2 linked regions of the Coturnix japonica genome follow. The protein of the gene in region 1 interacts with the protein of each later gene in a biochemical or structural test. Links are inferred from orthologs where the notes say so. Each region holds a gene or a part of one and is shown on either strand. Other genes may lie near its edges.

Region 1 (7,725 bases):
TGACCTACCTTGCGAACTTTCTTTGCAACAGGCATCACCTTTATTACATCCAAAACCAGTATTAATTCTTTGTATTTCTTGTGTTGTAGGATAGTATCTGAAGTTTATGATAGCCTGTTCTGTATTGATACATACCTTCACATCTGTGTCAGTCTCGATAGAAAACAATACTGTTTTGATAACCTACTTGCTTGGATCTCCCTTCTAATGAGTTTCTTACCATTTCTCCTCTGTTTCTACAGACAGACACTGAAATAGTAAATCTCATCTCTATGTTTCAGCAACATGGACATGGGATTCAAATATTCTCAGACGTTGAATGAGAATGTGACTATGCTAAATCACTCTACCTTTCTTTTTGTTTTCCAGTGGGCCAATGCAGCCTAATTCTGACTCATCTTTTCTTCCTGTGTCTTTATTGGTATATTATGTACTTGGTGACTCCAGTGAAATCTTTCTTCTGAGTTTCAAAAGCAACTGTTGTACAATCACTTGACATTTCAAAATGTTGTGAAGAGGAGATGATGGAAGGTTGATGTTGGAGTATAGTTGGAAATGCAACACAGGACAATGGAAAATTACATAGGAAGAATTCTTAAAATTGGCATTTTGAAAGACTAGTTAAAATAATATCCTTTACTGCATGGCTCCTCATTATATTGAAAGGGGAGGCTAGTATCAAATCTTTATTGAAGTTTCATTTCTCCTAAGCACCGGAGCTTGTGTTAATATATCACCATAATTAGTTTATTTTTTTTCTTCAGACACTGCAGTTTTCTTATGGTATTAAAAATCTCATTACCTACAATGCATGCAAGAAATACTTGCTCAACTTTATTTTTTAAAATTGAAGAAGCAGTTTTTGCATATTACCTCTGTTATCCATCATTAAAAAAAATCTTAAATATTGGTATACTTTCAGGCATGACAGAGTAAAGTTCCTTTGTGCTATTTTAGAATTGTATGGTTTTGCTTTTGTAAAACGGGAGCCGGAGGTATATATCCATCTTCTACCATAGAAATGTTTAGACATACATACATCTTTCCTCATTTAAAGAAGTACTTCTATGACACATTCTACCTTCTAGCCAGGGAAGGCTAATGATTTATCTTTACATTTACTCCCTAGCGATAGCTGGAGATGAAAACAGAGATAATATGTAGAGAAAGGGAAGAGCCAGAAGAGGGAAACAGAACAATGTTTCCTAGAGGCAACTTCTCTCTGCTCTTGCCAGACTCTGCTGAACTGAGTCCACCAAAGTGAGGCAGGGTTAGAAGTCCCCATGCTGTCGGCCACATGAAGAGTGATAGAGGAAGAGATGCTGAGCAGCTGCTTCCCTGGTGTTCCTTGCTGTTGACACACTTCTGGCTTGTATATCTTGGCCGCAGGTGCAGAAAAATACATTGTCTAGTGAGATGCTGCTCTCATTCATCAGTCTTTCTATGTATTGTTGTCTCTGCTCTCCCGTTGTAACTATGCTTTTAAGGGTTATGTACACAAGTCCTATCTAACAGGAGTTACAGATACCAGCCCAGGAACCAGTAGCTAGACAATATATCTTTTTGAGTCCTGGTTTCCATTATGTCTTGGTAGGCAAGTAAGTCTTGCCCTCTCAGCAGCAAACTATTCTTTCAGTGCAAGGATGTTGCTGGTGAATAATGTTTCCAAACTATAAAGATGAGGTTTCCTCTGCCTCAAGTTATTTTGTTTATCACAGCTCTGTGAAGTAATCTATCTGGGAGAGGGCCCACAGACAATTGGCTGAGGCTTTTTTCCTGATACAAATCTTCGTAAGCATTGAACCAAATACAAATATGAAAGTAAAACTGTGCTTCATCCTGATGCTGGGATGTTGAGTACAGATAGCTGTGCTTTCACAGGCACGCTGTATTCTTGTGTCTCTTTGGAGTGTCTCATTTGGAAAATGGCTAATGCATGAAAGATGAAAAATGTTTGTGAAGAATACAGACTCCTGCACCAGATACAGACGCTTTCATAGCCTGTCTCTTAGATGACTGGAAATAGTCATTCAAACCACATGACTGCAAAAATTACACTCAAGTGTAACAAGTGACTCTCACATAGCTTTTGTGACTTTAAAATCCACCTCTACTTTAGGCTTCTTTTCATATATTTGGTTTTCTGTCTTTAATTGCACTTCTTGAAACACTAAAACAACTTTTGTCTCTGTTTCTTTGTGTTTGTCTGACATTCTACTACTTCTTCTCAAGGGCATTCCCTGTCAGGCTGCACTCAAGCTGACTTTCAGCTCATGTCAGGTAAACACAGGGACAGACATTTAGATGGATTTTCCTAGATTTATTCATGACTTGTTGTCATTACCTGTGTCTCAGCCACATTTTGCATAAGCTACAACCTTGTCTCCTGTTGCTTTCCTTCATCTGTTCTAAGTAATGCCTTTTTGTTTGTTTGTTTGTTTCCTGTGCAGCATCCTAATTCCTGATGGTGACAAGACTTCAGGATTCAACTCTGTTATCTTCTCCTTCATGGAAATAAGATGATGAAGAAGAATATTACCTGCGATAAAATTATTTTCTTTAGGAAGATTTATTGGGCTAATTAAGTCCTTTCCCTGTTTTTGGTCATTGGATGGTCTCCATTCCTTAAAAGTCACAAGCAGCGTAGCCAGTAGAATGCAGCCTTACAACACTGTGTCTTGCATGTGGACAACTGAGGCACATAGAAGTTAACAATGCATGGGAGGTCTGAGAGAGAGACAGGAGGACATAAATATTTTCTTGCTTCCTAATCCCTTTTCTGTTTTGCCAGATACACGAGGCAGAGCAACTTTATGCCACAGAAGAGGCAAATCACAGTCTGAAATATAAAATCACATCAGTTCAGCTCAGGAAATTCTGTAAGACTGGTAGTACAGTGCTATAAGGTTGCTAATACAAAATCAGAATGAATATATTATTCTGAAAATTAAAGGAGGAAAATAGATCTCTTGTAGCCCCTCTGCTTGTCTGTTGCTACTGGAAGCTTGTGCAGCATCCAAGTCTGCAGCACTGTGTGATGTTTCAGAGAGGCTCAGAATCAGCAGCCCCTCGACTTTCTGCAGCTCTGAGTCCCATTGGCTGAAAGGCAAAGCAGAGGCGGAGAGTGCAGAGTATTTTTCTCCTCCACACACCATAAAGCAGGCAGCCAGCATGCACTGCCTGGCAGCGAGACTGGTGCTTAGAGTTTGAAATTAGTTTCTCCTCGGCAGCAGTCACTTGAGCATTTTACATTTACCTCTCCAAATGGAAGGGTTAAAAAACAGAGAGAGAGAGAGAGAGAGACCTGCAGCATAATAGTGAACTAAGCAAGAAGTGAACTTAGGGGAGAATCTGATACAAACTTCCATACTGTTGGGATTCAGTGATACAGACCACCGAGATGGATGTGATGGTGATCAGAATCTGCATCTGTGAGAGAGCAAACCAGCATCTCTGAGTTTGAAACCTCATTTTACAAAGTGCTCTGAACTACTATCTGCTTCAGTGCTGCCTTATTTTTCTTTTCTTCCCAAACTGAAAAGGAGGATTTCAGAGGAATGCAAGGACAGTTTTAAAACCAGGAAGCTGAAAGGGTTTCTCCATAAGATGAATTTCACCCAGCATCGTGGGACACTCCAGCCTCTCCACTTCTGGAACCACAGCAACGGGCTGCACAGGGGTGCCAGCGAGCCCAGTGCAAAGGGCCACTCTTCGGGAGGCTGCTATGAACAACTCTTTGTATCCCCTGAAGTGTTTGTGACTCTGGGCATCATCAGCTTGCTGGAGAACGTTTTGGTCATTGTGGCAATAGCCAAGAACAAGAACCTCCATTCGCCTATGTACTTCTTCATCTGTAGCTTGGCAGTGGCTGACATGCTAGTGAGTGTATCTAATGGATCAGAAACTATTGTCATCACGCTGCTAAACAATACAGATACAGATGCACAGAGCTTTACCATAAACATTGACAATGTCATTGACTCAGTGATTTGCAGTTCCCTGCTTGCATCAATTTGCAGTCTCCTCTCAATAGCAGTGGACAGGTATTTTACTATCTTTTATGCCCTCCAGTACCATAATATCATGACGGTCAAGCGCGTAGGGGTCATCATCACATGCATCTGGGCTGCTTGCACTGTCTCGGGCATTTTGTTCATCATTTACTCTGACAGCAGCGTTGTCATCATCTGCCTTATCAGTATGTTCTTCACCATGCTCATTCTCATGGCATCCCTTTATGTTCACATGTTCATGATGGCTCGAATGCATATCAAGAAGATAGCAGTTCTTCCAGGGACTGGCCCCATCCGCCAAGGGGCCAACATGAAAGGGGCCATCACTCTCACTATACTGATTGGAGTTTTTGTTGTGTGCTGGGCCCCATTTTTTCTGCACCTCATTTTCTACATCTCCTGCCCCTACAATCCTTACTGTGTGTGCTTCATGTCCCACTTTAACTTCTACCTCATCCTTATCATGTGTAATTCCATCATCGATCCACTTATCTATGCATTTCGGAGTCAGGAGCTCAGGAAAACATTCAAAGAAATTATATGCTGCTGTAGCTTGAGAGGGTTTTGTGATTTGCCTGGAAAATATTAGACTGACGAGGGTAGGTTACTGTGTATTCAGAATACAGCATGGTCTTCTGAGCCATTAGAATCTTTTTCTTCATCAGAACTTGGGTAACATGTTTAAGAGCAAACACTTCTTTTTCTCTCCCTTCCCTCCCATCTTTGTATCCCATTTATGTGTAATTCATATTTCTGTGTAGTGTTTGTGATGTCTACAGTTTGTGATTTACTTGGCTGGGAACAGAATAAAAGTAGCACTTTATAGCAGTTTGTGTTTAAATAAATGTAATGCTGATTGTGAAATACTAAGAAATACGAGCAGCTGTATGTTCCAACTGCTGACAAAATAAAGAATTTGTCTGAGTTACAGTGCATATTGGTTGACAATGTTCCTTATTCTGCTGATTATAGCTATTCATTATGTTACGTGCAACTTAAAATAGAGCTTATGCTTCTCAATTAGTGTATTAAAGGTTCACTAGAATCAGGAGGCAGATTTTTCATGAAGATTACTGGAATCAAGGAGTTGTGTTCATTTATTTTATGTGCTTTTCCTTCTACTCCAACAGCAGCAATCCTGTTCTTTGTTACAGCTATTGCCTACAACAACGGGATTTTTTCAAATACTTGCTAGCCAGGCAATTGAAAGCTTGTTTTATCTTGGTTTTCAATATGATGATTGCTGTGTGTCTGAAAGTGCCTTTTCACAAAATTGAAATTGAATTTGAAATTGAAATTGAACACTCCCTGGAGCATCAGTTAGCACTGGATATATTTAATAGACTGGAGTCCAGATAGGCTGTCACCCTCCGTTCACTCATGAAGAAGGTGCAGTACTAATACTGATAGTGCTGGCACCTGTGTAAAGCTTTGCAGTGAGATTCAGCTGATGATAATGAAGAAGGGATATCAGCCTTAGCATTCAGTCCTTATTCTGATGTTCTGTGGTGAACAGGGACTCTGTTCTTCGGAAGAAAATATAGCTTTCCTAGAAACAAGCTGCTCTCTTTTCTGAAGCATTATTAGATGGGATCCACTGCCTGGATTATTACAGAGGAATGAAAGCAGGTATCAACTTGGGGCCACCTCAGGCACCACTGTGGACCATGCAATCTTGTCTGGACAAGAAGGCTGGCAATCTGATAAGTGTCTAGATCTATGCTTTGTATCTGGCAGCCCTGTGTGTTAGTGCTGCTTGAGGACAGTTCACCTTTTCAGACATCTAATTTAGATGTTTAATAAGCAGGTCCCTGACTTAAGCACCTTGAAAATATTTAAAATGCAGATAGAGGTACACAAAAGCCCATGAAGACATCCTTTAACAACTTGACAACAACAGCTTCTATGTAAAAACATAGGAAAATCAACTTATTTATTCTTGGTAAGTATAAAAATAGAGCAGTAACTGGAAAAGACCTGGAAAGTTTCGACATGAAAAGTAAAACTTTAATGTAAAGAATAATTTACATTTAAGCCTGGATGTTTTATTCTACCAAGATAAACAGTGAATTAGTGAGATGAAAGTTGTGCTTCTTATTTCCTTCGGTTAGCCCAAGACATTAAAGGCAGATGTTATGGCAACAGAAGTTGAACTTTCCAACCAATATTCCATTGCATTTAGTTGATGCCTGACAGAATGGTGTCTGACACAGAAGTGCATATGAATCAAAGGGGTGAAACTGCATTTCTCCATGAGGAAAAAATTGCACCCGCTGACATTCATTGGTGCTTATTGAACATACATGGAGACCAAATGGTGAATTTGACAGTGAAGAGAAGGGTGGCACATTTCAGCAGTGGAATCAGCAGTATAAATGTGACATGAAAGACAAGCCATGTTTTAGATGGCCATGCACATATGTCACCACAAAATGAAGAGTGCCTCAACCAGCTCATCTACCCAGACTGGCTGATGGTGGTGACTGTGTTGAAAAATCACATTTTGTAGCTGAGAATTTGCTCTATCAAATAGTGTTACTGTGCTCTTTGTAACTATTGTAGATTCCATTTGGAGTGACCTACACACATTAAGACCACTTCTGTGTGTATGTGTGTGTGTGTGTGTGTGTGGAAACTATAAACTTTTCAGTAATACATCTCAACCTGGTTCTACCTGTTAGGGAATAAAAGATGCCAAAGTAGGAGGATTAATGCTCAGTGAGGGGGAACATGTGAATGTATTAAAATTAATAGGCAGTCCAGAAATCTTCTTGAATCCTCTTGGACTTTATTAAAAGCACTTCTTTCTCCCGGAAGACACGATGCTAGCTATGCAGAAATGCTCTGGCAACAACACAAGAAATTCTGCTGCCTATCTGAAAAATCTCTGTTGATCTTTGTTCTGCCTTATGCTCTGTAAATTATGATAGCAGGTGCCAGAGATTTGTTTTGTAGCCCATGGATGCATACACAGGCTAGCAGAAGGCGGAACAAGATGTTACTTCAGGTGCTCAAAAAATTACCTTGAAAGTAACTCTTTCTCTCCTTTGGCTATACGAGCACTTGATACCTAATTTAAACAAATACGAATGCTGAAGAGGCTATGAACTCTCAGTTGATTCCTAAAAATAAGAATCTTCTGCTTTGAATCCAAAGAGGAGAGAATTAAGTTTTTTTTTTTTCTTTTAATAGCTGTTGGGGGTTTTCATCAGTGGTTTTCTTGTAGTGTCCAAAATCTTCTGCAACTCTTTTTCATTTACCTGTACTAAGATTAGTAAAGAGAATTTTGACCCCTTTAATATCTAAATCTCATTTAGAATTATATGTTTAAGAACTAGCTTATTGCAGAATTTTATCAACTTTAAGACTGCTTGACATCTCTTCTGTCTTCATTTTATAAAGCTAAATGTATATACCTGCTTTTTAATGGACTTTAATTTAATTAAAGACTTCTTCAGCTCACGGTATTATCTCTCGAGTGCAATTTATTGAAATTGCTGGCAAACCTGCTATATAAATAATTTTTCTATTCCCAGACAATTTTTTCCTTCTAAATATCTGCATCAGTTTCTGTTTGCCTATAGATCTGGCACTTTCCATCAGGGAGTCATAGAAATTAGTGTTGCAAAAAGTAAATATATTAATCTAGTTTGCTGGAGAGTGATGAAAGTGGAGGATTATTTTCCTCACTCAATTTTCTGGAGCTTTGTCT
Region 2 (6,286 bases), on another chromosome or scaffold:
AGTGGTGCTGCCTGTGGCCAATGGATTGCTTCAGCGACCACTCCTTTCTCTGCCCCTTCTTACTGTAGCTCTTCAGACAGTTACTTGAAGGTGTAATACCACGTTGACATCGGTTTGTTTTTTTTTTCACTCTGGTGGTGGGTGCAGTTTGCAGTTGCCCCGAGGCTACCACTTGTTTGTGTGGCTGTCATGTAATCCGGGTTTAGGAAATGACCTAGCTTAAGAGGACAGAAAAAACAAGGGTTTATTTCAGTCCCAGGGCTGGGATTGCAGTGTGGCTTTGCCAGCCCTGCCCAGAGCCTGAGGCTGTCCCTTGCCACAGCCACTCCTTGGGGTCCCCCCCATCTTTTTGTTCCCAGCCTGTCCCTTTTTATTTCGTTAGTCCCCCTGGAGTTTTGGCTGGGTGAAGTTGGCATTGGGAATGCAAGGAGGCTGCTTGACAAAGGAGGATTCACTCCCATAGCTGTGCAAATGAAAAACAGTAAATGTTTAGCAAAATGGAGTAGTAAAAGGAATTAACCGCCAGACTGTGTGTGCATGGGGGGGAGGGGATGACACCTCCAAACCACTTCAAACTCACAAGGAAGGTGGGAAGATGAGCACAAGGCTTGCTCCTTGGAACCTGGCTGCCATGGGGATGGCACAGGTCACGTCCTGGGGTTCCATTGCTTCTCAGGGATCCTGGGGCAGGACTGCACCTTATCCCCTGGCTGGGGGTTTCGGTGTGGTCTCCCTGGTCCCAGTGCTGCTGTTCCCTTGTTACATCCCCTATTCCCCTCCAAAAGCAAGTGCTGGCTGTGCTCAGCATTACATTTCAGGACCCAAACTCCACTTGTAAATGTCTCTGCAGATACACACACACAGTGTAAGTGATTTGTTTGTACATCACATTTAGTTTAGATACCGGTGTCTGTATAGATGACAAAGTATATTTCTATAAACTCAGCAGTTAGGTGCATGTGTGCGTTTCCATCTCTGTATTTCAGGGCACCGTGTTGTTTCTGTGTGTAGTTGAGGGCAGGAGGGGAGTGGGGCTGTGAAAGGGGCTGAGATGCCGTCGATATTTGCAGACGTGCCCTCCAATAAATGTTGGTGTTGCCACATTATGGGATCAGCTCTGTTGGCACGTTCGTGGCACCTGGTTTCTCTGTAAGGCTGGGGGAGGTGGTAGGGATTTGTTACTCCTGGCACAGTTGATATTTGCTCTTGAAGATGGTCCCAGATCCACAGCTGCTCCCCGCTTTCATTGCCCCTCTTTACCATGCTAAACCCCTCAGGTTTAGCAACATGACTTTATAGGTAAGGTCACTTTCTTTGGTACCTGAGGGTCTTCTGTGTTGCCATTTGATAGGCAGTTAATGAGTTTATCAGAGAGATCAGTACTGGGGAAGCTGCTGAGGGATGGGGGAGCCCAAATCCCTTGGGAGTAACCTCTACTGAAATATATCCCATCTCCCATGCACAGCCCCAGTGATGCCTTTTGGTCCCCGGCTGCAGGATTTGGGCTTGGAGTTACTCCAGATTTCACTGGTAGAGCCCTGGAGGTGTTGAAGGCCAGGTTGGATGGGGCCCTGCACAGCCTGGTCTAGTAGTAGATATGGAAGTTGGCAGCCCTGCCTGTGGTGGCGGAGTCAGGGTTGGAGCTTCACAATCCTCGAGGTCCCTTCCAACCCAAGCCATTCTATGATATGATTCTATGACAATCATTAAGGTTGGAAAAGACCTGTAAGATCATCAAGTCCAACTATCAATCTGTCCCACCAAACATGTCCCTGTTTGTTTTACCCCTTGGCAAGACACAGCCACAGAGACACTGCAGACACATAGATAGCTTGCAAAAATTATATATATATGTCTTTTTATTTAATTTTTTTTTTCTCTTTTAGAATTCTTTTAATCCATCATTTACAGTATTGTACAGCTTGGTGAAAATAGGAAAATGACCCAGCGTGAGCACTGCTCACATTGGTACGTTCAGCCCCAACCTGTTGCCATTTGGTGTCGGGGGCAGGAGGGTTTTGGAGTAGTAATTAACAACATAACGAGCGATCTGTGGATCTAAGTGACACACATGGCGGCAGGACACTAAAGCTGCGTGGGGCCGCGTGGGCTGGGCTCCCCTCACTGACCCTTCTTGTAGGCGCTTTTGATGATGGCGTTTTTGAACAGAGTCATCAGCGGGGTCTGGCTGTGCTCTAAGGTCATGAAGCCGCCGTAGCGCTTGTCCTTCAGCGGCGCATGCCAGCGGAAGTGCCGCATACGGTACGAGCCACCATCCTTCTTTTCCTCCTCACCCTCCTCCTCCTCTTCTTCTTCCTCCTCTGAGAGGCCGAGGGGGTCCCCGTCGGCCGCCATCTCCCTCCGGAACTCCATGGGGTAGCTCTCAGCTGACTCCTCATCCACACCATTGGGATACACCTTGATGGGTCTCCTCTTCCGTCCCACCGGCTTACCCCAGCGGAAATGCTCCATGGAGTAGGAGCGCTTCCCTTCCTCTCGCTCCAACCCTTCTCCATCTTCCTCCTCCCCAGCGGGGTGGTGGGGTGATGTGACGGGCAGGGCAAGGCCGGCCACCTCCTCCCTTTTGTGCCCTCCGCTGCTGCTGTTGCGACGGCCAAACTTATTCCAGCGGAAATGGCTCATCACGTACTTACGGATGCTCTCAGAGAGGGGCTGCAGGTGTCCATTGCCTGGGTACACGGGTGCCTCGGCCGACAGCTCAGCTCGGCACGCCTTGGCACACGCCTGCATGGGGTGAAATGGAACCGTAAAATCATTCTGCTTAGAAAAGACCTCTAAGATCACCAAGTCTGATTGCCAGCCCATCACACCATGCCCAGTCACGGTGTCCCCAAGTGCTGTGTCATGGTTCTGGAACACCTTTAGGGATGGTGACCCTAGCATCCCCTGGGCAGTGCATCACTGCATCACCTTTAGGGCAAGAAATCTTTCCTAACGTCCAACCTGTGGCCGCGTGCCTTGGTGACGTCCCCATGCAAGTGCCACTCTATGTGTCCCCCAGGGGGAGCATGGAGTACCCAACCCATTCTATGGGGATGTAAAAGGTGCTGGGGGGGAGCATTGAGTGCGTTGGATCCACAGAGCACACTCAGCCCCTGCAGAGAATTAACCATGACCACCATCCCATGACCATCACTCCCTGATTTCCTGATTCATCCCACGTAGGAGGGATGATATCCGTCCAAAAACTGATTTTACCCAACGTGAAGATGTTCTTTACAATGAAGGTTGTGAAGCTGTGGAACAGAGAAGCTGTGGGTGCCCCATACCTTGATGGAGTTATGTGCTGGGAGGTGTCCCTATGGCAGGGGTTGAGGCTGGGGGGGCTTTGGGGTCCCTTCCCACCTAAACCACTTTAGGATTCTGTGACTCTATGAAGCCAAAAGGCGTGAGCACACGAAAACCCTCAGATCACAGAGCCCAAAGCATCACTCCAACCTTACACTATGTCACCCAGCAGGGATGGCATCCCATCACCTCCTCCGTTTGGGTTAGAAAGCAAACCAAGCCCGGGGCAGCCCCACGCTCCCACTTACCAAAACTCCAGCCTCAGTGGCCAGGTCCTGGCACTTGCTGTTCTCCCAGCATGGGCCGCTGGCAATGGTGGGGTGGCACAGCAGCAGCCCCAGCACCACAGGCAGGCTGTAACACAGCACACCCCGCATGGTACCAGCCAAGGATGGGTCCCCAAACTGCAGAGGAGCGCTATGGAAACAAAGAAATAGTTAAAAAAAATAACAACTATTTGCCCAAATTCAGGGCTGCTGCTTCTGCTGGGATTTCATCCCCCTCCTTCCAGCCTTTTGTGGCTTTGCTGTCACCATCCTTTGCCTCCGAAATCCCAGGTCCTTTGTCACCTGCATTAACACCCGCCTTTGCAGGTGACAGCCGCTGCCATGAGGATTTCTGCCCCTCCTGAGAGCCACAGGCAAGCGAGTGATGCTGCAGGGGGAGAGCATGATGGAGCTGCCTGCAGGCTGCAGCCCCTGCAAACCCCCCTCAAGCTGAAATGGTACATGAAATAACATCAGATCATCGCTTGGGAAGCGCTCTGGGAGACGCTGGAAGTGCCAGGGATGCAGGCTGTGCTGCAGGGACTGCTTTGGGTGAGTCCAGACGAGGTGAGGGTTGTGGTGATGGTGGCAGTGCCAGGCTGATGTATCCACTTAACTTTGCTTTTGCCAAACCCAACTCTTTCCCAAGTTGTTTTTAACTTTGTGGGGACTCACGTGGTTCAACCTGGGAGTGCCAGGGGAGGAAAACCCCATCCCAAAGAATAGAAAACTATAGGCAAATTAATGAAAATCTCATCCTGCTCTTAATAGAGAGTGGGCAGAGTTTGGGCGTGGAGGTGCTTTTTGGGTCTTTTGCCCCAAAATCGTGGGAGCAGCTGCCTGGAACCTCCCAGCTCTGACACAGCTGTGTTGGATCTGCAACTGTGGGGCCACTTCTGTAACACATCAGCATGCAGTAACCCAAAAAAGCAGAGAATGAAGGGGGGGCAGAGGCTGGGGGGCAGGGATGCACGAAGCATTTCAGGGAAGAGGGTGCTTTATCCCCTTGCTGCCATCCTTCTAACCATGCAAACAACCCACTGCAACCAAGATTTTGCAAAGTTTTCCCCCTCCCATATCCCTAGAGAAGCCCTTCTGGGCCATGCTGCATCCCTGAGGTCTCACCTGCGGCTTGGGCTGGAGCGCAGCCACCACCGGTCCCCGTCTCCCCGAGAGCAAGTCTGCGACGTCCCTGCATCCCTGCTGCCTTATATACCCCCAGCGTCGCGCCGCAGCCGCCCTCTGGATGGCCCTTGGTTGGGGGTGGGAAAGGGAGGGGAAGGTGGGGACGGAGGGACCCTTCCAGGTAGCGAACAAAAGCAGAGCAGCAGTGAGCACGGCGCTGATGTGGCTGTGGATGGGATTAGCATCTCCCCGCCAGCCGCAGCCGGCCAAGTTTTCCATGCGAAGCTGTTAATTGCTTTCGGGATCAGAGGGGTCGGACGGAAAGTGCTTTGCTGGGTGTTTGGTGCAGGGGCATCTGTTCCTTATGATCGGGTGTGGGAGGGCTCCGTGCTCCGATGGGTGCTGGGGGTTTGGGGTTGGATTTTGGTGGAATAAAGGGTTGTTTTTAAAGAAACCACTTGGGATGGCAGCACACACAGCCCCCTCCTTGTGCACAAACCTCTGTTCTCTCTGTTCCACTGGACTGCTTTTGTCTGCAGATCCCTCTCCTATAGCAAGGAATCCAAGGCTTAGCAAGACTCATTTTCTTTAGGGCTCACCTGAGCTGTAAAATATATTGCTATAGAAGCTGCCAATAGGCTCCTCCAGACACCGAGACCAAGCAATGTGCAGGTGAGCAGAATGCTCCCTTCCTGCAATGGGATGTGGGTGCTCCCCTCTTGCAATGGGATTTGGATTCTCTCCTCCTTGCGGTGGGATGTGGGGTGCATGAGGTTGACATCACTGCTTTGGGATGGTGCACAAAGCTCCGTCACAGGTTCCATTTCACTTTGCTTCATGCCTTTCCCAGACCTCCAGTTCCCCCCCAGATCCAGGAGACCTCTGTGGCACAAGCAATTCATATTCCTTAACTGTATTATCTGCCTCCACCCTCCACGGCAGATCCCCTGCTATGCAATATATTTTCATGACGGAGAGCTATTCTGAATGCTTTATGGCCAAAAAGGAGCTATGATTCCCACTTTAAAAGCTCTTTCATCTTCATTAGGCCTCTCTGAGCCAGTTATTTTTATAAGGAAGAAATCTATTTAGGAAATAGGGAAACTTTGTTGAGGTGAGGCGTTGGGATGAAGAATGCCTCCACGCTCACCAGCCTTGATACAGCCCCCAAAGCTTGGTCTGAGTCCATCCTCTGAGCTCCCCATAGCCCAGAGCCTCAGGATGGTTGGGTTCCCAGCACCACGGCCAGGGGCTGTGGGGCACCCCCAAGGAGGACCCCCACACCTCTCCACTCCCTGTGCCAGGGCTTGAGCACCCACCCAGCACTGCAATGCTACTAATGGGCAGCTCTTGGGCTCCAGGCTGTGCCCTGTGCCCCTGGGCTGCCCCGAGCACTGTTGAGCAGAGCCCAGTTACATTCCCTTGTACTTCCTGCTGGGATTTATGGCCAAGGTGTGATCCCTCAAGGCCTACACAGGTGCTGCCTGAGCATTCCTGGAGCTGGGGCTGGTTCAGCTGCAAAGCCATCACCATCGTGCCCACTTACAGAGTCATTAGTATTGGAGAAGACCTTTGAGGTCATCAAG

What was found.
Region 2: the proteins of MC4R (region 1) and POMC form a complex in vitro, tested with the Homo sapiens proteins (2 studies listed by BioGRID). The link is inferred for Coturnix japonica from reciprocal best matches to the Homo sapiens genes MC4R and POMC.

What each region holds. Positions count from the first base shown.
Region 1 is NC_029517.1:60,660,616-60,668,340, forward strand, and holds MC4R (melanocortin receptor 4), read left to right. Parts: upstream 1-2,926; 5' UTR 2,927-3,606; coding exon 3,607-4,602; 3' UTR 4,603-4,948; downstream 4,949-7,725.
Region 2 is NC_029518.1:96,193,565-96,199,850, reverse strand, and holds POMC (pro-opiomelanocortin), read right to left. Parts: upstream 4,790-6,286; 5' UTR 4,701-4,789; intron 4,114-4,700; exon of another isoform or gene 3,727-4,113; 5' UTR 3,687-3,726; coding exon 3,558-3,686; intron 2,746-3,557; coding exon 2,122-2,745; 3' UTR 1,881-2,121; downstream 1-1,880.